Saccharomyces cerevisiae S288C: one gene and its partner. Changing the gene in region 1 together with any one later gene gives a genetic interaction. Each region holds a gene or a part of one and is shown on either strand. Other genes may lie near its edges. The genes, in order: MEF1 and KAP120.

The links.
Region 2: mutations in MEF1 (region 1) and KAP120 together harm fitness less than expected from each alone (positive genetic interaction), as found in Saccharomyces cerevisiae (one large-scale study listed by BioGRID).

The regions. Positions count from the first base shown.
Region 1 is NC_001144.5:268,446-275,663, forward strand, and holds MEF1 (Mef1p), read right to left. Parts: upstream 5,471-7,218; coding exon 3,185-5,470; downstream 1-3,184. Other genes in the region: PET309 (Pet309p), read right to left, coding at 1-2,265; FYV7 (Fyv7p), read left to right, coding at 2,563-3,018; D-xylulose reductase XYL2, read right to left, coding at 5,696-6,766; RGR1 (Rgr1p), read right to left, coding at 6,933-7,218. UniProt on the Saccharomyces cerevisiae protein: Mitochondrial GTPase that catalyzes the GTP-dependent ribosomal translocation step during translation elongation.
Region 2 is NC_001148.4:298,707-316,986, forward strand, and holds KAP120 (karyopherin KAP120), read left to right. Parts: upstream 1-14,681; coding exon 14,682-17,780; downstream 17,781-18,280. Other genes in the region: ODC1 (mitochondrial 2-oxodicarboxylate carrier), read right to left, coding at 1-797; gluconeogenesis transcription factor RDS2, read right to left, coding at 1,182-2,522; COX11 (Cox11p), read left to right, coding at 3,010-3,912; 60S ribosomal protein uL18 RPL5, read left to right, coding at 4,415-5,308; SPO19 (Spo19p), read left to right, coding at 5,681-6,352; TATA-binding protein-associated factor TAF14, read left to right, coding at 6,592-6,600, 6,706-7,431; TBF1 (Tbf1p), read right to left, coding at 7,827-9,515; HHO1 (histone H1), read right to left, coding at 10,122-10,898; NAN1 (Nan1p), read left to right, coding at 11,504-14,194; SPC29 (Spc29p), read left to right, coding at 18,049-18,280. UniProt on the Saccharomyces cerevisiae protein: Functions in nuclear protein import as nuclear transport receptor. Serves as receptor for nuclear localization signals (NLS) in cargo substrates.

The DNA of each region.
Region 1 (7,218 bases):
TTCAATACGATCCATGTATTTAGCGAAAAGTGTTTCGAAATCTTTCCATTGTTCAATTTGAGCTAGTAATACCAACAATGATCTCATCATCACAAATTTATTATTATTTGATATCCAATCATGCTTTTTGAAGAAAAGCTCATTGTACCGGTTGTATAACTCTAAAGCCCGCTGTGGGCTATCATGTTTCACAATCATTCTCATTGGCCATGCCATGACCGAGGGATGCAGTTTGTTATACGTAACGTCGAGAGTTCCATTGGCAGCATTTTCCATGATGTCTTCTACCATATTAATCGTTTCCTTGATTTCCTCATTATTTTGTAGGCTTTTTTTGGCAACGGCCTTCAATATATAATATAAAATTTTGGAATTCGCTGGTACCTTATTCTGTGACATTGTCTTGTACAAGTTAATTATACCGTCACGATAACCCTCTTTGTCATATGCCTCCATTATTATTTCAAAATGTGTAGCGTCCACCTTGATTACAGAATGTTTTATTAGTTGATCTATGATGCTCAATGCCGTTTCGCAATCTTCGTTCAGTGTAACTAAAAATTTTATCATCATCTTGTAAAATTCACTGTTTACAGCCAGTTTTGAGGTTGTGATCTTGTCGAAAAGTTCTTCACACTTGTTGGCATTTCGTAAACCAATATAAGCTTTGATGGCTTTGTTATACACTGAAATTAGACCATCTCTCCAAGATAAATTCTTTGAATGTTTTTCAAATAATGCTATTGCCTCTGTTGGCCTGTTACTCTCAATATATACATCCATCAATGCAGAGATACTTTTTCCAGTGTGTTGGATATTATAATGTTCAGTCATAAGGTTGAATAATTCTTGAGCGATTAAATGGTTCGTAGTTTTGCAACACATTTGTATCAATAAAGCAAAGTGCCCCTCCGTGATTTCCACGCTAGGATCCTCGCTTAGTCTTTTTAATATCCTAAACGCACCATCAAGGTCATTTAAACCACGATACACTTTAAGCATTATGGTATGCGTTGCTGTTGAAGGCGTTATGTCGTATTTCTTGAATAGTTCGAAGTGGCTAAAACAGGCTGCGAAATCTCCGACTTTATAATGTGCATATAGTAAAGATTGTAAAACAGCGTATGTCGGTATCATACCTCTCCTCAATAACTGTGTATATAGTTTATTGACACTATCCAATTCACCAATTCTGGCCATAGTATACATCAAAATACCATAATGTTGTATGGAAGGTAGCTTACCGATACCGAAAAGAGCATTGAACTGTTGTTGTAAGGCGTCCCAATTATGCAGCCTAGAATGAGCCACCAAAAGATAATCAAATTGGTTTTGGTCGTGCTGAGCATCAGGGTATTTCCAATATGTTGACGAAACCAAATTAAACTTCTGCATGTGACAATACGTCTTTAGAATACACGTCAGGTCAGAACTCACTATCGGCAGGTTATGTTCGCACTTGTAATTCCAAACTGCTTCTGCAGAAGAAAATTTCCTAATATAAGTTAATAAGAACAACAACGTAGTTGCAAATTGAGACGCTATTGCGGGCCCTTGCGTTAGCTGAATTGCTTTCAAATAAGATAAATAATCGGGGCGAACATTTGATTGCCTCATGAATGATAAAAAGTTTCTCAAAACTATCTTGTTCTCCATATAATTCGTAAATTCACAATGTCCATTCACTAGTTTCATCCATTTGACCCATTTATATACAGCTTCTTCATGCATATTCATTATAACCATCCTAGAGAAAATCGAGTTAATGAGGTCTATCACCATTGTCTTTTGTGTTAATAGAAACCGTTGTATGATATCAGAGATTGCCTGATCTAATTGAATACCTCTTTGTAAAATCAATAAAGAGAGAAGGAACTTTTTCAATTCAGGTAATGAGGCATCCTGTTTTAACAATCTTTGTGAACCAATAGTGGTATAAAGAAACTTCTGTGCAATTTTTATAACGTTCCCATAGGCCTGGTGCCGATAAAGATACTTTATAAGGTACTGTCGTTCAAATGTTGTGGTAGCTGAATTACTTGTTATTGATGTTGTTGCTTTCTTTGTTAATCCACTGCCAACCGACTTTAGAGGAACACTTCCGCGCGCCATAAAATATGAGACCAGGTTTCTCTCATCCTGTGAGCATAATGGTGACGTCGATTTATCTCGAAGCAGCTTCCTTATATGATCAGGTACGCCGGTACTCCATATACCCTTCTTATAATTATAATTTCTTAATACGGCAGGAGCACACCTTTTCATAATGGCCAAAAAGCGTGTTTCAGTATACTCCAACACCCTTAATCACTTAAATTCGAAGCTTTGTACACTATTGCGGCCTCTTTCCTGGGTATCGAGGCTGCGTTAGCGTCACCTAGAAATCCCACTTTAACTTACACTACATGATTTTTTATTTTTATTTCTCTATTGGCCCGAAAAGTTACTTTTCCTTCAAACAATGAAAAATTTCAAAATCAAACCTCATCGCGATAGTATTAAAAGTGCTTTCACAAGAATGATACAGGAAGGTGGTCAAGTAAGCAACTGAGCAAAATCAATATGGGTACAGCCAAGCAAAATCAAAATAGAAAGAAGTTTACGAGGGAGTATAAGGTTAAGGAGATCCAAAGAAGTATTACAAAGAAAACTAGACTGAGAAAGGAATACCTTAAAGCTTTAAAAGATGAAGGGTATGCCGTACCAGAAAAGGAACCAAAAACCGTGGCAAAAGAATCTGTAAGGAAGATTAAGGAAGCCAGGGCAATAGAGGGAAAGAAGAAACTAGACGAGAAGAAGGAGATCAAGAAACAAAGAAAGAGAATGCAAAAAGATGAATTAAACAAGCAAAGAAACGAGCAATTGGAAAGAATCAGAGTTTCGAAGGAAAAATTTCAGAGGAGAGAAGATAGAAAGAAGAAATTGACTCAAAGAACAAGGACAGGCCAGCCCTTGATGGGCCCTAAGATAGAGGATCTTTTGGATAAAATTAAGACGGATGATACTTATACCTCCTAGATAATGATATTCTTCAAAATTTCTTTTCATTCGTGTATTTACAGAAAGATCTTTTTATTTAAATTTACTTAATTAGTGTGTATATTAATTTTATTTCCTGCCTTTTGTTAATTCCTTTTTATTGGAATTTGTTATTTACAAGACTGTTTTGCCCATGAGGACTTGACTATTTCTTCGCTTGCTTCTTTTGGAACTCAGATATCAATTCTTTTTGAACATGGGGCGCTGTTGGAGCGTAATGACTAAACTCTAATGAAAACTCACCTTTACCTTGAGTCGAGGCTCTTAATGAGGTGGCGAAACCGAACATCGTGCTCAAGGCACATTCTGCTTTTAATGTAAATTCATCATGACCATTTTCGGTATCCTGTATTACTGCTTGTAATTTATTCAATAAACCGATGACGTTACCTTGAAACTCGTTTGGCGATGTTACTGAAACATTCATGATAGGTTCCATGATCACCGGCTGTGCCCTCAGGAAGGCGTCACGGAAGGCTGACATAGTAGCTGTTTTGAATGATAATTCATTAGAATCCACGGCATGAATAGCACCATCATTGATTAGCATTTTAACATCCAAAACACGATGACCGATCAATGGTCCCTTTTCACATACTTCTTCAAAACCCTTACCACATGCAGCCAAATACTTGTCCGGTATACGGCCACCAACAATAGCGGTCTCGAATATGTTGCCTTTGGTAATGTCATCCACGGGAGATAAGGTACCGATAACTCTACCATATTGACCAGCGCCACCAGATTGTTTTTTATGTGTATAATCAAAATCTGCCGGGATGGTGATAGATTCTCTATAGGAAACCTGCGGTTTACCCGTGACACAGTCCACATTATATTCACGTCTCATTCTTTCAACGTAAATCTCCAGATGCAATTCACCCATCCCAGAAATAATTGTTTCTTTAGATTCAGGATCGAACTTCACTCTGAATGTAGGGTCTTCCTTTTGAAATCTGTTCAAAGCCTTCGAAAAATTCGATGCGTCCTTTGAATTTGGCGTAATCGATAACGAGACAACAGCATCTGGAACATACATGGATGACATAGAGTATTGAACGCTACCATCAGTGAATGTATCTCCAGAAGCACAGTCAATACCAAAAGTAGCGCAAATTTCACCTGAGCCAACTTCATCAACATCTTCCATCTCACTAGAATGCATCCTGACCAATCTTGCAACCTTCACTTTTTTACCAGTCTTTACATTTGTAATGTAATTACCTTTTCTTAAACGCCCCTGATATACGCGAACATAAGTCAATTGACCATATTTGCCTTCTTCCAATTTGAATGCCAATCCAACAAATGGCTGTTGCACCGCAGGAACTAAGTTAACCTTGGCTTCGTTGTTGCTCACATCTAGAGCTGTATTCAACACTTCAGAGGGATTAGGTAAGTAGTCTACAATAGCGTCCAAAACGGGCTGAATACCAGTATTTGCCAGTGCGGATCCCATCAAAACTGGTGTAAAAGACCTAGCAATTGTAGATCTGCGAATAGCATCTTTAATTTGTTGCGTGGTAGGCTCCTTTTCTTCCAAAAACATTTCTGCCATTTCATCATCCACATCAGCAAGTGTTTCGATCAAAAGTTGTCTTTTTTCCTCCATTAATGGCTTCAAATTTTCAGGCACTGGCCCTTTTTCTATAATTTCACCATTATCACCCTTGTTGTAAATAGCAACTCTATTAATCAAATCAACGACACCAGATAAGCTTGATTCCGATCCGATAGGAATTTGTACAGCAGCAGCAGGTATTTTTAGTTTCGAATTAAGTTGTTCTATTGCACGGAAGGGATCTGAACCCATACGATCCATTTTGTTGATGAAAGTTACTCTTGGAACATTATATCTACGCATTTGACGATCCACGGTCACAGTTTGGGATTGAACACCTGAAACAGCACAAACAACAAGAACTGCACCGTCTAGTACTCTAAGAGCACGCTCCACTTCGATAGTGAAATCAATATGACCTGGAGTGTCGATCAAGTTGAAATGATAGTTTTTGCCCTCTTTATCCCAAGAGCAGTAAGTAGCGGCAGACTGAATAGTAATACCCTTTTCCCTTTCAAGATCCATAGAATCCATCTTGGCTCCAACATTATCCCTACCACGAACCTCATGAATGGCTTTGATTCTTTTTGTATAGTACAGAACACGTTCAGTGAAAGTAGTTTTTCCGGAGTCAATATGAGCAGATATACCTATGTTACGCAATTTATTACATCTTCCAATATCGTCTGGAGTAAGTTTTTGTTTGATTTCATCCACCAAAACTTTTTCTTCTTCATATGTAGAACGAGCAAGTGGACTCTCATGAAAAGACCTTCTCGAGAAACCTGAAAAAACTTTTGAACATGTGAAAAAGGGTATTCTACCTCCAACCATTTTTCGAGGCACCCACATCATTTTCTGGACACTCATATTGGTGATATATTGCAGTGCTTTCTACCTTCTTCCGTTTCAATCTCCTTTATTAAATCTCGTTTTTTAGATATTTTCATCTTGGAAATTTCGGCCGCTTGTGAAGTTCCATCCCCACAATAATAATGCAAAGTTATCATATTAATATATATATATATAAAAGACATATAAAAAAAATCAAATGTATTGTGCATCTTGGATGCCAAAAGTTACATTTTCTTTCCTTCATTCCGGGCCCTCAATGATCGTCTTGATATTATTTAACGGGTGGTGGCTTGTTTCTTCGAATGCCTCGACAGCATCCTTAAAGCTATAGCGATGTGTAATGAATGGTTTAAGCGAGAGTTTTCTGCTAGAGACTAGCTCGATGGAGTCACTATAATCACCTTGACAGTATCGGAAACAGCCTTGGAATGTCAGTTCTTTTGTTGGAATGATCGAGATGGGAAATTGTATTTCCTCTTGTCCCATTCCAACTTGAACGATCGTTCCACCTGCCTTACAGACTTCGATGCCTGCTCGAACGCAAGGCTCTGCACCAGAACATTCAAACACAACGTCAGCACCTTTCTTGCCGATTGCTTTTTTTATAACACTATCTACAGTAACGCCATGTGGGAGATCACCTGAGTTGACGATGTGGGTGGCACCAAACTGCCTAGCCGTTTCCAGCTTGTTTTCTAATAGATCTACAAAAACAACATCTGCAGCACCAAAGACACTGGCTACTTTCCCGGCTAGCAAACCTATGGGCCCAGCTCCAAAGACGACGCAACGGGCTCCAAACTTGATCTTTGCTAATTTATTAGCATGGATTGCCACTGATAATGGCTCTATTAGTGCTCCTTCCTCGAATGACACATCATCAGGAAGTTTATAGACGAAATCTTTCATGGTCTTATAATACTTTGTCAAGGTCCCATCAAAGGGAGGTGTCGCAGCAAATTTTAAATTGGGGTCCAGGTTGTATCTGCCCTCTTTCATCTCCGGTGAAAACCTGTCAGGTATTCCGGGCTCAAGTGCCACCCTATCTCCTACTTTAAGTGTCTTGACGTTCTCACCTATGAGGGCCACTATTCCTGATGATTCATGTCCCAGCACCATTGGTGATTCTACCACGTAATTGGCTATTCTTCCATGGGTATAGTAATGGATATCTGACCCGCATATTCCTGTCGCCTTGATCTGGATGATTACTTCGTTAGGATCTGAAATCTTTGGGATGCTGACATTAGTTAGGGTGATTTTACCAGGTCGCTCTAGAACAATAGCTTCTTGTGTAGTTAAGTCAGTCATGCTCAATGGTGTTCTCTATCCTCAAGGCAGTATGAATATGTCTTTTTAGTGTGTATGGATATATTTATGTATATACTTATACAGTTTTCAATTTTATTTTGAATTAATTCAGGAGAGGGGTTACAATCTCCTAAGGGATAGTAGCGCCGGTGACATTTTATTCGCTCTAAGATGAACTTGAGTTCGAGTCCACTTTGAGGATATTATGGATTTCCATTAGGATAGGCTCTATCTCACTGGGATCGCAAGCCACGCCATTGCCCAAACGAATGGCATGTGATGCGTTTGCGGGTTTGACAGATTCTGGGGTACCTAATCTCTTAGTATCCAGCATAAATACTTGATTTCTCACTTGATGCATCATTGGATAGGCGGGAGATTTCGTGGTTATGTGTGCTACGTCTGCAAAATGAATGTGAAATTGAATTTTATCACGGCCGTTATGCAAAACA
Region 2 (18,280 bases), on another chromosome or scaffold:
TCACGGTAAACTAACAGCACTGAAGGCAGGGACCAGTTGTACTTCCTCAGCGGCCCGGAACTTCTTTGGATCCTAGATTTTACCACGTCAAATGGTGTATTCAACAAGCACCCGACAGTGCCACCAATAGCACCTGCGATCAAATCATTTCTGGTCTTTTCCGTGCTTGTTTTAGCCGCCGGCAAAAGCTTCCGAATTTGGAATATTATACCGAAATAACCGGCATTCCAAAGAACGTGTCTCCAGATAGTGGCTTCCAACCCATTGAAAAGTGACAAAACACCACCTTTCACAACACTATTCTTTACAACTTCAATGGGTGTCTTGAACTGTGAATTCACATCCTGTAATCTAATCTTCACTAGTTCAAAAGGCGCGACGACAAAGGCTTCCACGGCGCCAGCGGACGCACCACTGTATATGGCGATTTTTTGAGTCATCTCCCCATTGGGCGTGGGGAAAATCTTTTTATAAAACGTTTGGAATGTATCGTTTCCGGAGAACTTAATTGCTCTTTTCGGAGCCTCCATTAATATAGGCGATGTGATACCCTTGTAAAGATGCGAAAATCCTTCCTTCTTCACAATTTTTGTAAGACAATCCATCACGCCCGTGTAGTGATCTACTGCTGCTTTCGCTGCAACAACAGCGGGATGACCTTTGGTTGTCACTTGTAATTGCATTCTTGTCTTCACCACGTCCAATGGATACATCACCAATAGCTCCGAGACGCCGGCAATGGCACCGGCTGTGAACTGGTATATGAACGGCAAAGGTCTATTATCTATAGATGTCATCTTACAGTTCTTTTTCTTTCACCCTCGTTACAGTTCTATCTTGAGAATAAATGAGATAAAGGTTCCCAAAAGTCACTGATATATATCAACGGCGGTCACCCTCACAGAAATACCCGAGAATCTGCCCTTCGCCAAATCAGATTCAGCCAGTTCGCAGTTTTTTTCCCTATCTCTGGTCGCCGCATTATGAAAAGATCCTGGGGTAATAATGGGAATGATTTGAAAAAAAACAAATGCTGGTAGAAAAAGGTCTTCGTATTGCTCGTAGTAATACGGCTATTTCAAGTAACTGCTCGGGCCAGCGGCTTGAGGAAAAAGTAAACCCGTTACTTTGCTTTTTAATGACGCTGGAAATACCAATTACCTACTATGTATTACTTATGCTTATGACAAAGGGATGAAATTCCCGACGATGCAAATTGGGATGTTGTACCTATCCCTTCTGATAGTGAAACTAAAACAGCATGGCCGTTTGCGGATTCCATCTTTGGTTCGAAGACTACAACTTGTTAAAACAGCCTTCTGACCCTTATCAAACGCTATGGACCCGTATTTTTCCCAGAAATTCACAGCGCTTTCTTCTGTCATCAACTCGTAGATCGCAAGCTTTCCATCGCGTAAATCATCGACTGTGCAGTCAACCAGTGAAGCAAACTCTTTATTGGCTCTGTAAATCTCACCGGTACGCCTACACAAGCACGCTGGCATGCTCATAGAGGTGAAAACACGATCATAAGATAATAACATCCTCTCGAAGCTCTCCTCCACTAAAACTAAGTCAACATCCTTCAATGAACGCGCAATGGTTCTAAACGCCGGTCTAATGGTGGATAGTGGTTTCAGAATCCTTTGCTTGGAAGACTGATTCATATATTTGTCCATGTAGTCTTGTAGTCTTGCATACCCCTTGGCATAATTATACGGCTTCAATAATCCTGCTTCAAGCTTCGCATTTATGACCAACTTCAGCCGGTGTTCTGGTGTCATCTCTGTTGACGGATCCGCCGCTGTTAAAAAGAATTGTTCCTTCGGTGTCGGTGCACTGTTTTCGTTTGCATTCGCTAGAATTCGAGACTCTTCCTTTTCTTGATCTTGTTTATCCCCTTTCGAGATACTATTGGAAGAACCTGACATAATAGTAGGCGACCTATTTTCTTGTCTTGCCACTCCTATTTCATCCCTACGATTGTCGTTTTGGTACTCTAATGGCGATTGTGTGGTTTGTGAGCCATTTTCCAAATGAACATTGCTCGCACTGCTGGAACTTAGTGATGTTTGAGTCAATAGAGGATTTTCTAGCATAGAAAGAAATTCATTCAAAGAACTGAATTCCGAACCAACATTCTCGGACACAAATACAGGTTGTTGCGGAAGCAGCAAGCTGGTTGTATCATTTACAAGAGAGGAGTCTAGTTTCGGTGACAGTTCCTCTCCATATGTGGATCCACTTTTATTGACTGGTTCATTCTGATAGTCAGACGGAATTCCAGTGTGTGCTTTATTTGCATATTTGCCCTGTATATTATTATCATTCGGAGAACTTTCGTGCTGTGATGGCATCTCATTTGGAACCGCAATATCATCTTCCCTGCATAAATGGGCAATATCCCTCTTGACGCACCTAGAACATGGACGTTGCTTATCACATACAACATGTGACCGTTTACAAAATAAACATGTTTTAAAAGCCTTACTGGCTCGTTTTACACCACTGTTTGCTGACATTATTTCGTCAGTTTATATAAATATGTGTATTTTGTGTTGATTAAAATTAAAAAAAACTTTATCTCACTGGCAAAGAACTCCCGCAAATTTTCTCATAAGAATTACTTTCTTCTTCCATCCCAGAGACCTCATCCTTTTTTCTAATATTCAACTATTTTTCATTTTCCTTCGTACTCTTTGTTTTGCTTTTTCTTGTTTTCTGCCATTCCAAAACATTATTCTCCCCATCTAAGGAGCGGATCTGTAGGAAAAACAGCGTAACCATTGGAAAACCCTTTCCCTAACCAATGCCCTTTGACGGATGAAACATGATATATCTTTTAAGGACATAGATACTAACCAATACAAATCAAAGAACAGTGAAGAGTCTAAAGGGGCAGCGAACGCTTAAGTATCTTCTTTAAAGTAATAATATTCCTGTCGCAGGTGAAATAGCACTTCAGCGCACAAACAAATAATATTGCAGCCAAAATTCCCTAATATTGTCATGATAAGAATATGTCCCATTGTTAGATCTAAGGTTCCACTGTTAGGAACTTTTCTTAGATCCGACTCATGGTTGGCACCTCATGCGCTAGCTCTAAGGCGGGCCATATGCAAAAACGTTGCATTGAGAAGTTATTCAGTGAACAGCGAACAACCAAAACATACATTTGATATTTCAAAACTTACTAGAAATGAAATCCAGCAATTGCGAGAGTTGAAAAGAGCAAGGGAGAGAAAATTTAAAGATCGTACGGTTGCATTTTATTTCAGCAGCGTCGCGGTACTTTTCTTGGGTTTGGCATATGCAGCGGTACCACTCTATAGAGCCATTTGTGCTCGTACTGGTTTTGGTGGGATTCCCATAACAGATAGAAGAAAATTTACCGACGATAAACTCATTCCTGTAGATACTGAGAAGAGAATTCGTATCTCATTCACCAGTGAAGTATCACAAATTTTACCGTGGAAATTCGTTCCTCAACAACGTGAGGTTTACGTTCTGCCTGGTGAAACAGCCCTCGCTTTTTATAAAGCCAAGAATTACAGCGATAAAGATATTATTGGTATGGCTACTTATAGCATAGCGCCTGGTGAAGCAGCTCAATACTTTAATAAAATCCAATGTTTTTGCTTTGAAGAACAAAAGCTAGCTGCCGGTGAAGAAATAGATATGCCTGTCTTCTTTTTTATCGATCCAGATTTTGCTAGCGATCCAGCGATGCGAAATATCGATGATATTATTTTACATTACACATTCTTCAGAGCTCATTATGGTGATGGTACAGCTGTAAGTGACTCTAAAAAGGAGCCTGAGATGAATGCAGATGAAAAAGCAGCGTCATTGGCTAATGCTGCTATTTTATCCCCAGAAGTTATAGACACAAGGAAAGACAACTCAAATTAATTGTAAATACAAAGTCATTCAATGTACATAAATACTGTTATGCTTTTGAATTAAGTAAAACACCATGACTTCATATTGAGATGTTTTAAGCATATAATCACGGCACCGAACTTCTTGTAATCATCAAATCTTTGTTTTCTAGCCGTCATAGAAATGAAGAAATGAAGATTCTTGTTCATGTGATACAGCTTTTCTAGACAGCTAACTTGTACATCCAGACATCCTAAAACACCCATAAAGCAAAAAAAATTATTGAAATATTCTCTTTTTTTTCTTTTTTTTTTTTCTGGTGGCTTTCAATGCGGAATCGCTCACATCCGAAAATTTCAGAGGCTTCACTTAGCGTCGCAGATCCCAGTAGTCGCCAGATGCTTTGAAAAAAAAAAAAATAAATAGAAAAGTTTGTAGACATATCCGATGTAGTATATTTCAGAGGCCAACCTTTACTTTTGTTTTCTCCTACACTTCAAAATAAAAGACACCGTCACAAATCTCAGCAACAATGGCTTTCCAAAAAGACGCTAAGTCCTCTGCTTACTCCTCTCGTTTCCAAACTCCTTTCAGAAGAAGAAGAGAAGGTAAGACTGATTACTACCAAAGAAAGAGATTGGTCACCCAACACAAGGCCAAGTACAACACTCCAAAGTACAGATTGGTTGTTAGATTCACTAACAAGGATATCATCTGTCAAATCATCTCTTCTACCATCACTGGTGATGTCGTCTTAGCTGCTGCCTACTCCCACGAATTGCCAAGATACGGTATTACCCACGGTTTGACCAACTGGGCTGCTGCTTACGCTACTGGTTTGTTGATCGCCAGAAGAACCTTGCAAAAGTTGGGTTTGGACGAAACTTACAAGGGTGTTGAAGAAGTTGAAGGTGAATACGAATTGACCGAAGCTGTTGAAGATGGTCCACGTCCATTCAAGGTCTTCTTGGATATTGGTTTGCAAAGAACCACCACTGGTGCCAGAGTTTTCGGTGCTCTAAAGGGTGCTTCTGACGGTGGTTTGTACGTTCCTCACTCCGAAAACAGATTCCCAGGTTGGGACTTCGAAACCGAAGAAATTGACCCAGAATTATTGAGATCTTACATCTTTGGTGGCCACGTTTCCCAATACATGGAAGAATTAGCTGACGATGATGAAGAAAGATTCTCTGAATTATTCAAGGGTTACCTAGCTGACGACATTGATGCTGACTCTTTGGAAGACATCTACACTTCTGCTCACGAAGCTATCAGAGCTGACCCAGCTTTCAAGCCAACTGAAAAGAAATTCACCAAGGAACAATACGCTGCTGAATCCAAGAAGTACAGACAAACCAAATTGTCCAAGGAAGAAAGAGCTGCTCGTGTTGCTGCCAAGATCGCTGCTTTGGCTGGTCAACAATAAATTATGGATATATAACGTCATTTTGAGATATTTTAAATAAAGCTATCTTCACATAACCTTTGTATTCATTTTTAGTTAACTCATTTACATCATCCACTTACTACATTTGTATTTTTTTTACGATTTGCGTACCGCCTCATTACTACCCTTTTTTTGCACTGCAGTAATAGTACACTCAAATCATGATGAAAAGAGAAAAGAAAAAAATGCCACAAAAAGTAGTTGATTTTATAAAAGTTATCATCCAATTTTAGGTAATTTTATTCTCTTTATGTAACGAACATATGAAGATTTCTTCTCTAGAATGGCATTCTAACTAAGTCCGTGCCATAAAATCATCACTAACAAATATAAGATCACGCTATACTATCAATGAAGAAACAAATATTAATAGTTGCTGCACAAAGTATTTTATGTTCTACTGTTTTTGGCGAGCGAAGTAATGTAGGCCTTTCCACTGAAGAGCTAGGAGGTGACTCAATTTTATACTTCAATGAAGACCCTATAGTGATTGAAATCGATAAGAAAGCTATTGACAAGAAGACTTTGGAACAGTTGGCAAGCACAAGAGATGTTGTTCTTACTGATTTACCGGACACTCTTGAGTTTATAGACTTCAACGAGTACGCGAAAATGAAGTCAAAATCAGATATGCTACTAGAGTATATCAACGAATACGAATTTGATGATTTTGAAAGAAGTTCTGAAGGCGGTCTTGAAGAAGAAGAAGAAGAGGATTTAATTTATGACTTCAATGCCCAAGCTGAAGATTTGGGTAAGCTTGGTTCAAATATATATGAAGTAGTCGAAGAAAAGAATATTGTTAATACTTACGATGGAAACCTTATCAATGCAAGTACAACTGAATCAACGACTACTATTCGGCCTTTCGTGACTTCTCACTCCTACGTTGCTTCTTCTACACCTTATTCGAATATTTCATCATTGAATGAGGACTACGATAATGCGAGCAACTTTTTGACTCCTACAACAGTGGCTCTTGCGGTACTTTTAACCATTTTATTATTTATACAGGCGTATTAATAGATCATTATTTTATTTAAATAAGAAATATTGTTGGCTAGCTTTCCTGTTTTATTTACTGTCACTTTTTAAAATCACTCAAGACGAGAAAGCTCTTTAGCAAAGTACTGACAAAAAACTTGAAGTTTGAACTTGTTACAGTATTACACGTCAAGGCTGTAGTGCGGTGAAAAAAAAAGAATATACCGTAATTTTTCTCCTTCGTGACCTCGGAGCTGACTGATATTAGATAACTAATCATGGTAGCTGTATGTTCGTTAATCTCTTTTAGCCACCCACCCATATGCTTTTTGTTTTGTTAGCTAAAATAATACTAACTTACGACTCTATTCTCATCATTAAATAACCAACAGACAGTAAAAAGAACCATCCGTATAAAAACCCAACAACACATTCTGCCAGAAGTGCCACCAGTAGAGAATTTTCCTGTTCGTCAATGGAGTATAGAAATTGTATTATTGGATGATGAAGGAAAAGAAATTCCCGCTACAATTTTTGACAAAGTTATTTACCACTTGCACCCAACTTTCGCCAATCCTAACAGGACATTTACTGACCCACCATTTAGAATTGAGGAACAAGGTTGGGGTGGATTTCCTTTAGATATAAGCGTTTTCTTGTTGGAAAAAGCAGGTGAGCGGAAAATACCACACGATTTGAACTTTCTACAAGAGAGTTATGAAGTGGAGCACGTTATCCAGATTCCTCTCAATAAACCACTTTTAACAGAAGAACTTGCGAAAAGTGGATCTACTGAAGAAACGACGGCCAATACAGGCACCATTGGGAAAAGAAGGACTACCACGAACACAACTGCAGAACCAAAGGCGAAGAGAGCTAAGACGGGCAGTGCATCTACCGTGAAAGGGAGCGTGGACCTAGAAAAATTAGCGTTCGGATTGACTAAACTAAATGAAGATGACCTGGTTGGTGTTGTTCAAATGGTTACCGACAATAAAACACCAGAAATGAACGTGACGAATAATGTTGAAGAGGGTGAATTTATAATTGACTTGTATAGTTTACCTGAGGGATTATTGAAAAGTCTATGGGACTACGTTAAGAAAAATACCGAGTAATAAAAGGTAAAAGGGCGTTAAATGCGCGCTTTTATGTTTGTATAAATAAAACACGTTGATATTTTGTCTTATATAAACTTTATTCCAATAACCGCGACACCTTACCAAACACATATTATTACAACACATTTTTATCTTGGATTTTAAGTAATTATACAACAGTTTTCATTTTAGAAAATGAGAACATCAAATATATACATTCCAATGTAATAGAAAATGGAAAAGAAAAAAGAATAAAAAGAAAAACACGAGGGGACCAGGTTGCTAGAAGATAGGGTGACCACGTCAAAAGAATATACCTAGGGAACCAAACAATGCGAAGTTAACAACCCATCAAAGTATTTTTAATAGTGAGTGGTTCAATAGAAAATTAGAAGTCTGTTCATTTAAGCGCGCTACATCCCATCTTCTAAATGAGGATCAAAACCTGTATTGTCCGATGTACTATTGCCAAAAAGTCCGTTAGATGGCATATTATCACTATTTTGCCCATGTGAATCCTCTTGATGAGTTTGAGTGTCTTCAGTAGCAGATGCAGCTGATGAAGGATGCTGAGATAAATTTTGTTCCATAATAGTTGACGAATTTGGAGATTGAGAGAATTTTTTCTTTGCCTTGTAGATTTTCTCCAAGTTACCGGTCACTTTTATCAAATAGTCAGGCAATGGTTTGCCACTCTTCAAGTATTGTAATTTCCAATTACGGGCTTTATCTTTCAGTTGTACCTGCGTCCTGTTCTTCAAATTTTCCGTGATTTTACCACCGGGACCATATAAATCTAGAATCTTAGACCACGATGGGCCAACCTCTTTCAGGCCTTCCACTAATGCTTCTTCTTCCTCTTTGGACCAAGTTCTTTTCGCCTTTGGTTTTCTTAATCCGATACTACCATTATTGTTGCTGTTACTGCTGTTGTTATGAGAGGAATGAGGACCAGAGCTGCTGTTGCTCATCGAGGCCGCAACAGCGGCATCCACAATGGATTGTGTGATAGCGGGGTTTTTGGAAGACACATCTGTGGTAGGTGTATGTGTGCTGTAATGATTCGGACGAGCAGTTGACAAAAAAGCAGACGCACTGCTTGGCTGATTTTGGTCGTCCATGAATTCTACGGTCCTGGTCCCTGTAGAAAAGAGTACTTGAGGATCAAACTCGTTGACATCAAAGTCATATAATGGTGATTTTCCGCGACCCTTTCTGCCCCATATGATGAGACCCATATTTTTATTACAATAATCCAGCAACTCTCTGATAAATTGAGCCCATTCGTAGCTCTGGGTCAGAGAGTTAAAATCTTGGACGATCTTTAAATTTTCTCTCCGACGATCGCACCTTTCGACGAAGTCCTTCTCCGATGGAGTCAAAAGTGTAATGTCTCCAGAATCGCCGGTTCTTCTCTGCACGAGAATATCAGCCAGATTGGATGGGAAGATTAAGTCTAGTAGCTCTTGTTTCTTTTCTAAAGAAATTTCGTTCGTCTCGTCCTGAAACTCTTTCAAGCCGGCAATGTAAGCCTGTGTTTTCAGATCAAGATATAGGATAGCCTGCGATTTCAAAAACTTTCCGCTTTGTTCCAGGGAGTTGTTACCGACAGTGTTTGTATTTGGACAGAAAATATCGAGAAATATCGACTGTAGCAGCTCAAACCCGTAATTAAGGCAGTTCAGCGACGTCAATAGAAATGTTAGCAGATTCGCCTTTCTTATGGCAGTAATAATAAACGCTTCGTGGCCTCTCAATATAAGGGGGGGAGGGGAGTTGGGAAACCATAAACCAGGCGCCACGTCGTGAACAGACAGTAACGGAGATCTGGTGTGGTAAATCATTCTGATCTGCTTAAAGAGCTTGACTAACGTTTGAAAAATTTCTGTTTCGCCTGAGCTTAGGAAAGCCGTCTGGTCCGTCAAAACCGCTATAATATTGGGAGAGTTGGCATTAAGGATAAGAAACCTCAGTAGTTGAGTGGAGATATTGTCCAGCAGACATAATGAGCATATGGTCAACCTAGTTCTTGCAGGCAGGCTTTGGATGATGTCATTGAAGCGGTTTAAGCTTTCGTTATTATTGGGCACTTGCGAATCCATGACAAATGGGGAAAGAAGTGAGTAAAGAAAAACTAATGTAAAATGATTTCTGTCGCAGATGGGACAGCCACAATCTTAAATGTTGGCAAGGATATAGGAGCAAAACGCCAATATTGAGATGATTGTTTATTATAATGTTTACAAGGAAGGGCAAAGCATTGAGGAAAATTAGTCGGAATGAGGTCTCGCCGGGCTTCTACGGAAAGGGGCGAAAATTAATAGGGCACGGTGCAGAATATTAGGGCTTCAAATGTTCAGATTTTAAAGCCTTTTCTTCAAATACAATAATTAATTTTACACACTGTACCTTGCATATATAAGAGAAGAGAAATTTATAAACAGTATAGTTAGTTAGTTAAGAATGGAATTTGAATAAAATCATAAAGGAGATATTTACCGAATAAGTAACAAATAGAGAAGGGAGAGATTAAAAAATGAAAATTTACAGTACCGCCAACAAACACTTGAATAAGATTGAAAATTAGAGAGAAAAAAATTTAGAAATAATACAAAATACTAATAGTGATGGGACACAAAAATGAAGAAAGAAAATAGGTTTGATAGTATTGCTATCACCATTGACATTCTCGTTTGGATATTCACTTTTTACGTGGAGAGTTTGACCTTCTTCTTGTTTAGTTTAATAATGCCGGAGGGGCCCTTTGGTTGCACTAACTCGCCGTTTTCAACACATTTCTTGATAGCGCTATTGAACAGATAGTCAAAATTTGAGCTTGTTTTCAACTTGGAGGAGAAAGTGTCCTTGACATACTTCTTTAAAACGATACGGCTGGAGCCCTTACCGTCATTAAGTTGAGGCATGCTTTTAAGGATCATTTCCTTGTAGGTCAATGAAGAAGGCGAAGAGGCCTTCTTGGCGGTAACAGTAGGCGATTTTTTTTTCACTACTTTCTTTGGCGCTAGCTTCGTGGATGCGGCTTTCGCTTTTGATGCGGTTGCACTCACAGAAGTGGCGGCTTGCTTGGGTTTTGGACTGACCTCTTTTTCTTTCTTTACTTCTGGAGATTTCTTCTTGGCCAGTTTCACAGCACCAGCGGGTCCCTTTGGCTGTTCAAAATCGCCGGCCTCCACACCCTTCTTTATGGCATTGTTGAAGTACAAATCAAAGTTGCTTGCGGATCCGACGATCGGGTAGTTTTCCTTGATAAACTTCTTGAGTGCCGGACGACTGGATCCCTTACGTTCCTTCAAAGCCGTGAGCCCTTCAATGATCAACTCCCTGTAACTCTTGGAGGAAGCTTCCTCCTTTTTTGCCGTGGTTTTCTTGATAGCGGCCTTGGAAGTTGATTTCTCCTTGCCTTTGCTGGTTGCAGGCTTCTTGCCCTTACTTGTGGTCTTGGTAGTGGATTTCTTGGGTGCCATGTTGCTTTAGTTGTATTATAATTGCTTCCCTCGCTGCCAAGCATTATCAGGTGCCCATAAATAACAACTCCCCAAATCTATAGTTGCTCCTCCTCTTTAAATAAAGGCAGATAAACAAAAAACTTTGACCGCCCGCTTTTCCACACAAAAAACAAACAACAGCAGAAAACGCGACGCGAAAATGAAAAGCCAAAGAGAACAAACAAAAATCATCCATCAAACCTGTTATTGTGCAGAATAGCTTTTACCTAGACGCAAGTCCCTAGGAGGGGGCATTTTTGACACAGAATAGCATTTCATCAAAGCAAACAGCAACTTCTTGGAGATTTGTATTGCTTGGCATGTCAAAATCTAGCGGTCACATCAGTAGGGTAACAAAATAGCACGTCAGGGTTAAGGCGGCCTACTGCTTAGGGTACGTGGTAAGTGATGTAAAATGTGAGAAGGAGAAACTAGAAAAAAATTTTCCTTTCTTTTTCCTAGCGATGAGATGAGATGAAATTTTTCGAACAAATGATTTTTGGCACAGTTTACATATCAGTTATATTGGCTGTCGTCACAGGAACTACAAGTACAAACCAGAACCATTTTAGCTGATCACCAGAATGACGCAATCCCTAGGTATCGAACAGTATAAACTGTCAGTCGTATCTGGTGGGAAACCCGCTTTGAATAATCTCAGTTCAGTAACCGGCAATAAGAATATCGCCCGCCTATCACAAGACCAACGAAACTATATTATACCCTTTAACAATCAGATCAAGGTGTATTCTGTGGAAACTAGACAATGTGTTAAGACTCTAAAGTTTGCAAATAACTCCTTGTTATCCGGAATATTTCTGCAAGAAGAAGAGAATAATGAATCGATTGTAAAGATTCTGCTGGGTGATATAACCGTTCCGCAACAAGAAGACGCTCATCTGATTACCGTATTCACCAATAATGGTCATGTAATTGTTTTAAATTATAAGGGGAAGCTGGTCGAGTCCCCTAAGCATTTCAAAATCTCTTTGGCAGATGAAAAGCTTGCAAATGTTTTCCATAGCGAGGGCAACTATAGAATTTTGACAACGTTCAAGGACCCTAGTCAAAAGGCACATAACTCTTTGCAATCGTACAGGTTATATGCATTAACCTTTGACGATGCTAAAAAGCAATTTGAAGTGGCTCATCAGGCAGAATGGCACAACGTTATCTTGTCAAATATTTCTTCCAATGGTAAACTGCTAGCGCATATGTGCAAAGACGTCTCAACAAAAGATCACGAACACAAATCCATCTCAGTTGTTTCGCTTTTTGATGATTCTGTAAATTTAAGCTTTCCCCTCGGTTCCATCCTTTCTTCACAGACTCAATCCCTATCCTATAACACAAGGTACGTTTCTAGCATGGCCATAGACAATATGGGTCAACAACTGGCTGTTGGATTTGCCTCCGGAGTTATAAGTATCGTAAGCCTGGCCGATCTACAAATAAGACTGCTCAAATGGCATATAGACTCTGTGCTGTCACTCTCATTCTCTCACGATGGATCCTATTTGCTATCTGGTGGTTGGGAAAAAGTTATGAGTTTATGGCAATTGGAAACAAACTCTCAACAATTCCTGCCTCGTTTGAACGGTATTATAATCGACTGTCAGGTATTGGGACCTCAAGGGAACTACTACTCTTTAATCCTACAAATGACTGAAAACAATTCAAATTCTGACTACCAATTTTTACTTTTGAATGCTTCTGATTTGACCTCCAAATTGTCGATTAACGGGCCATTACCGGTGTTCAATAGCACCATAAAACACATTCAGCAACCAATCTCGGCCATGAATACCAAGAACTCCAACTCAATTACCTCTCTCAATCACTCTAAGAAGAAACAATCTAGAAAACTAATTAAATCGAGAAGACAAGATTTCACCACTAATGTAGAAATAAACCCTATTAACAAGAACTTGTATTTCCCACACATTTCTGCTGTTCAAATTTTTGACTTCTATAAAAATGAGCAAGTTAACTATCAGTATTTAACATCAGGTGTCAACAATTCTATGGGTAAAGTTAGATTTGAACTGAATTTACAAGACCCAATAATAACTGATTTGAAGTTCACCAAAGATGGGCAATGGATGATTACATACGAAATTGAGTATCCGCCAAATGACCTCTTATCTTCCAAGGACTTAACTCATATCTTGAAATTTTGGACCAAAAACGATAATGAGACAAATTGGAATTTGAAAACGAAAGTAATAAATCCACACGGGATAAGTGTCCCAATTACCAAGATATTGCCTTCACCAAGATCAGTTAATAATAGTCAAGGCTGTTTAACGGCTGACAACAACGGTGGACTGAAATTTTGGTCCTTCGACTCTCATGAGAGCAACTGGTGCTTGAAAAAAATTTCTTTACCAAACTTTAATCATTTCAGTAACTCCGTTTCTTTAGCTTGGTCTCAAGACGGGTCTCTAATATTCCATGGTTTCGATGACAAGTTGCAAATTTTAGATTTCGACACTTTTAAAAAGTTTGAATCATTGGAAAATACAAAGACGGTCAGTGAGTTCACGTTAGACTCTGAAATCCAAACCGTCAAGTTGATTAATGACACAAATTTAATAGTGGCCACCAGGACTACATTAAACGCCATCAACTTATTGCGGGGTCAAGTCATAAATAGTTTTGACTTATATCCGTTTGTTAACGGAGTGTATAAAAATGGTCACATGGATAGGCTTATTACTTGTGACGAAAGGACAGGCAACATTGCCCTGGTTATAAATCAACAACTAACTGATCTCGATGGCGTACCAACTATCAATTACAAATCCCGTATTATTATATTCGATTCTGACTTATCTACAAAATTGGGTAATTTTACGCATCATGAATACATATCTTGGATTGGTTGGAATTATGATACTGATTTCATATTTTTGGACATAGAATCAACACTAGGTGTTGTCGGAACCACTGTGAATACTCAACTATCTGATGAAGTTAATAACGAAGGAATATTGGATGGCCTGGTAAGTAACACCATCACAACTTCGGCATCCAATAGCGATATTTTTGCAGAACAATTGCATAAACTGTCGTCTAGGGGCAAAAAAAGTGACACTAGAGATAAAAATACCAATGATAACGACGAAGATGAAGAAGATATCGCTTTGGAATTTATAAATGGCGAAAAGAAAGATAAGCTAGTCAATATGAATAGTTTTACGAGCATGTTTGACAACATTCAAAACGTGCAAATGGATACATTTTTTGATCGTGTGATGAAAGTATTAACATAGCTTTAGGGTTCTTCCATTGGATATCCAAAATAGATATAAAGGTATATATATATATATATATATATATATGTTTATAAAGCAAACCGAAAGCAAAAATATCTGTATAACTTAGTTACAAGGGAAGGGAAGAGAATGCATTGGTTAATAGGAACAGACACTTCGTAAAAAGCTTCACAATCATTAATGTTAATAGAACTATCATAATATACAAAAAATCTCTTCATACGATTTTTGTTTGATGAGCATCCTCAGTCAAGATGAATAAAATAATCTCTCCAAATAAGCCGCCTCTTTTTTTTTGAATTACACTTCTATAGCGTACATTTCCATGTAAGAAGATTGAAGTTTCAAACAATTGGGTAGCTTAATATTTGTCAAACTTCTTGGTAGGTGTTGTGTTTAAGAAAAAGGAGGCACCATAAACTATTAACTTTTTAGCTTGCCTCAACTGTCAACCGAATCAAATTTTAAAAGGCGTTAAACAAAAATGGCCTCGTCTCTTAACGAGTTAAACTTGGTTCAAGTACTTGAACAAGCAAGTAACCCACAACATATTAGGTCAGATGTTCAAAAATTAGCCGAACAACAACTAAGACAATGGGAGACTCAAGCGGGATTTCATTACTTATTACAGTCAATCTACCTTAATTTATCTAATTCTTTACAAATTAGATGGTTGGCGGTAATTCAATTTAAGAACGGCGTGGATAAATACTGGAGATCCACTAGAATTAACGCTATACCTAAAGATGAAAAAGCCTCGATAAGAGGTCGTCTTTTTGAAATGATCGATGAACAGAATAATCAACTTTGTATTCAGAATGCCCAAGCTTCCGCAAGGATTGCAAGGCTAGATTTTCCCGTAGAGTGGCCAACCTTATTTGAGGATCTAGAAAACCTATTGAACGATGAGATCATCAGAAAAGATTCAGTTAAGATTTACAATATATTGATGCATATAAATCAAATCGTTAAAGTATTAGGTACTGCGAGAATAGGAAGGTGCCGACCCGCTATGCAAAGTAAAGTTCCTTTGATATTACCACTAATTGTCAGGATTTATTTACAATCATTTGAAGAATGGACGACATCCTCCAATCTCAACTACGAGGATCTTTCCAGTTTACAAGTTTCTTACCTAGCTTTGAAAGTGCTCAGAAGGATAATTTGTGAAGGATACGACCGCCCTCAAACCGATCAGTCTGTTTGCGATTTTATTAAACTATCCGTTTCACACTTTGAGATGTTAATTTCAAACCATGAAAACTTCAAAAAGTTTGATATTTACGAAAAGTTTATCAAATGCCTAGGAAAGTTATATTTCAATTTAGTCACTGGCTCTCCGGCTAATTTCATATTACTGCCATGCTCTACGCAAATTCTAATCACTTATACTAGGCTAATTTTCGATAAGGCCCCTAAAGTATATAGAGAGAATTCTGATGTCACGGGGGACTTTTGGGAACAGACTGCTATTAGAGGGCTTTTAATTTTGAAAAGGGTCATTAATTTCATTCACAAAAAGGGGGCAATTACGTTAAAAGCAAGAAGTGATAAACTAACCATAGATGCTTCTATCAACAAAATCAACACAGAATTTCTGAATGAGAATTTGATAACAAGGTTGGTTGACACTTTAATGGAATGGTACTTGAGGTTAAGACCAACTGAATTAGAAAATTGGTTTATGGATCCAGAAGAATGGATAAACGAACAAATGGCCACGAGTTACGAATATCAAATCAGACCATGTGCAGAGAACGTTTTTCAAGACTTAATGAATACTTTCTCTGAGCTGTTGGTTCCCTACCTGTTAAAGAAAATTGAAAATGATGCTTCAAAGCTATCAAACTCATTAGACGATTTTTTAAGGAAAGACGCAATTTATGCAAGTTTCCAATTAAGTGCATCCGCTGTTAGTGAAATGGTAGATTTTGACAGGTTACTAATTCAGGTTTTTTTACCAGAAGCTACAAATACAAACATATCAGGCGACGAATTAAGGATTATCAGAAGAAGAGTTGCTTTAATTATAAACGAATGGTCTACTGTGAAGTGTTCGGAAGAATCTAAAAGTTTATGTTACAAGTTATTTACAAACTTCCTGACAGATGAAGACGACAAAGTTGTTTTGTTAACCACAGTCCAGACTGTCAGAACCATGGTTGATGACTGGAACTTCAACAAGGATACTTTTCAGCCATTTTTAACTGAAAATGTTCATTTATTGTTGAGGAAAATTTTACCATCTGTGTCGTTAACCGAGACAAGGCTATATGTTTTAAACACCTTGAGCGATATCATAATTCAAACAAAACCTTTAATTAGCAGGGATCTATTAGTCGAAATTTTGCAAATCATACCAAACCTTTGGGAAATAGCAACAAATAATGCTAGTGAGGCTATTTTGGCAAACGCATTGTTAAGGTTATTGAGAAATTTGGTATCATCTTTGGGATCACAGTCACATTTAACGTGGGATATCGCCATACCTGTGGTTGCATTAGCCTGTGATCCCTCTTCTATGCAATATCAGTTGTTAAGCGAAGACGGGTATGAACTATGGGGCATGCTTCTTCAAAATTTTTCATCCCACGATCAAGAGTTTGACGATAAGTTCGTTGAATTGGTGCCATTTCTAAAGTATGGTATTGAGACACACACAGAGATTCTCCCAACTTTACTTGAAATTATCAAAAGTTATGCTCTGATTCTGAATCCTGTGGATTTTTTCTCTAACAACACATTTCAAGATATTTTTAAACAAATGTCTAAATATCTTTTAAAGTTAAGGGAAGATTCATTTCAGTTGGTTTTAGAAATCTGGGAAATTTTGATATTATCCAATGAGTCGGATTACGAAAATCTGTTATTGCAAAAATTCTATGAAACCGGAGTATTATCAGCATTATTCGATGCCATTTTCCTGGAAGAAGCTCCTTCATCTTATTTATGCTCGCAAATCATTCAAATCATCGCTAGAATATCCTACGTGAATCCAGACGCCTTAATGACTTTTTTAGCTACATATCATGACAATCTACCAACTTCTAACGAAAATGCACGCATGCCGGAATCAATAAGAAAAATTGTGTCTAAGGATCAGACGTATGATTCCGTTGTAAACAAGCTTTTAACCGGATGGATAGTATGTTTTAGAGATATCTTTGATCCTAAATTCAAAAAAGTTCACATATTAGGTATTTCAAGTTTACTAAGGACTGGTTTAGTTCCTATTTTGACTGAGTTTTCATCCATCGCATCTTTATGGATCGAAATGCTCGAAGAAATTAATGAAACTAATCGTGGGGATTGCGAAAAATACCACTTGAATGATATTGTTACAGAGCAATCAATTGCATTCCATCCTTTAACTGCCGAACAATTAAGATATCATCAATTATGCAAAAACAATGATCCAGTGCATAACATTAGTTTAAAAGATTTTATTTCCCAATCAATGGAATATCTAGAATCACATTTAGGAGTAGAAAGGTACCAAGAATTTTTGAAGACTATTAACCCTAGTTTACTAGAGAACTTACAAATGTTTTTATCCATCCAGCCTCAAGAGGCTCGTCCATGATAGTAATAAGTACTAAATAAAAGTAAAAAATTGTATATAGTTCGACTAACAACATTACAGTGGTATCTTTTGATCGCGCATTCTATACTTTTATTTTGCTACTAATTAGATGTCGCAGTTTTTTTTGTTTGCTTTTTGCGTAATACAAAAACAAACGCGAAAAGTGTTCATGTAATATAATGAAGTAAACCAAGTCTCACGGAATAAAATCACCTTCTTCCAATTTTGTAAAAGTTTAACCAAAGATCCAAAGTGGCTTGTAGGAATAATGGATTATAGTAACTTTGGAAACAGTGCCAGTAAAAAGTTTCAAGACGATACTCTAAACAGAGTAAGAAAAGAGCATGAAGAAGCCTTAAAAAAGTTGCGAGAAGAGAACTTCAGTTCAAACACGTCAGAATTGGGAAACAAGAAGCACTATAGAGCACAGGAAAGGATGAGTTCGCCATTACATAGATTGTCTCCCACAGGTAAATCAGACGATAGGAAAGTGAAGAGCC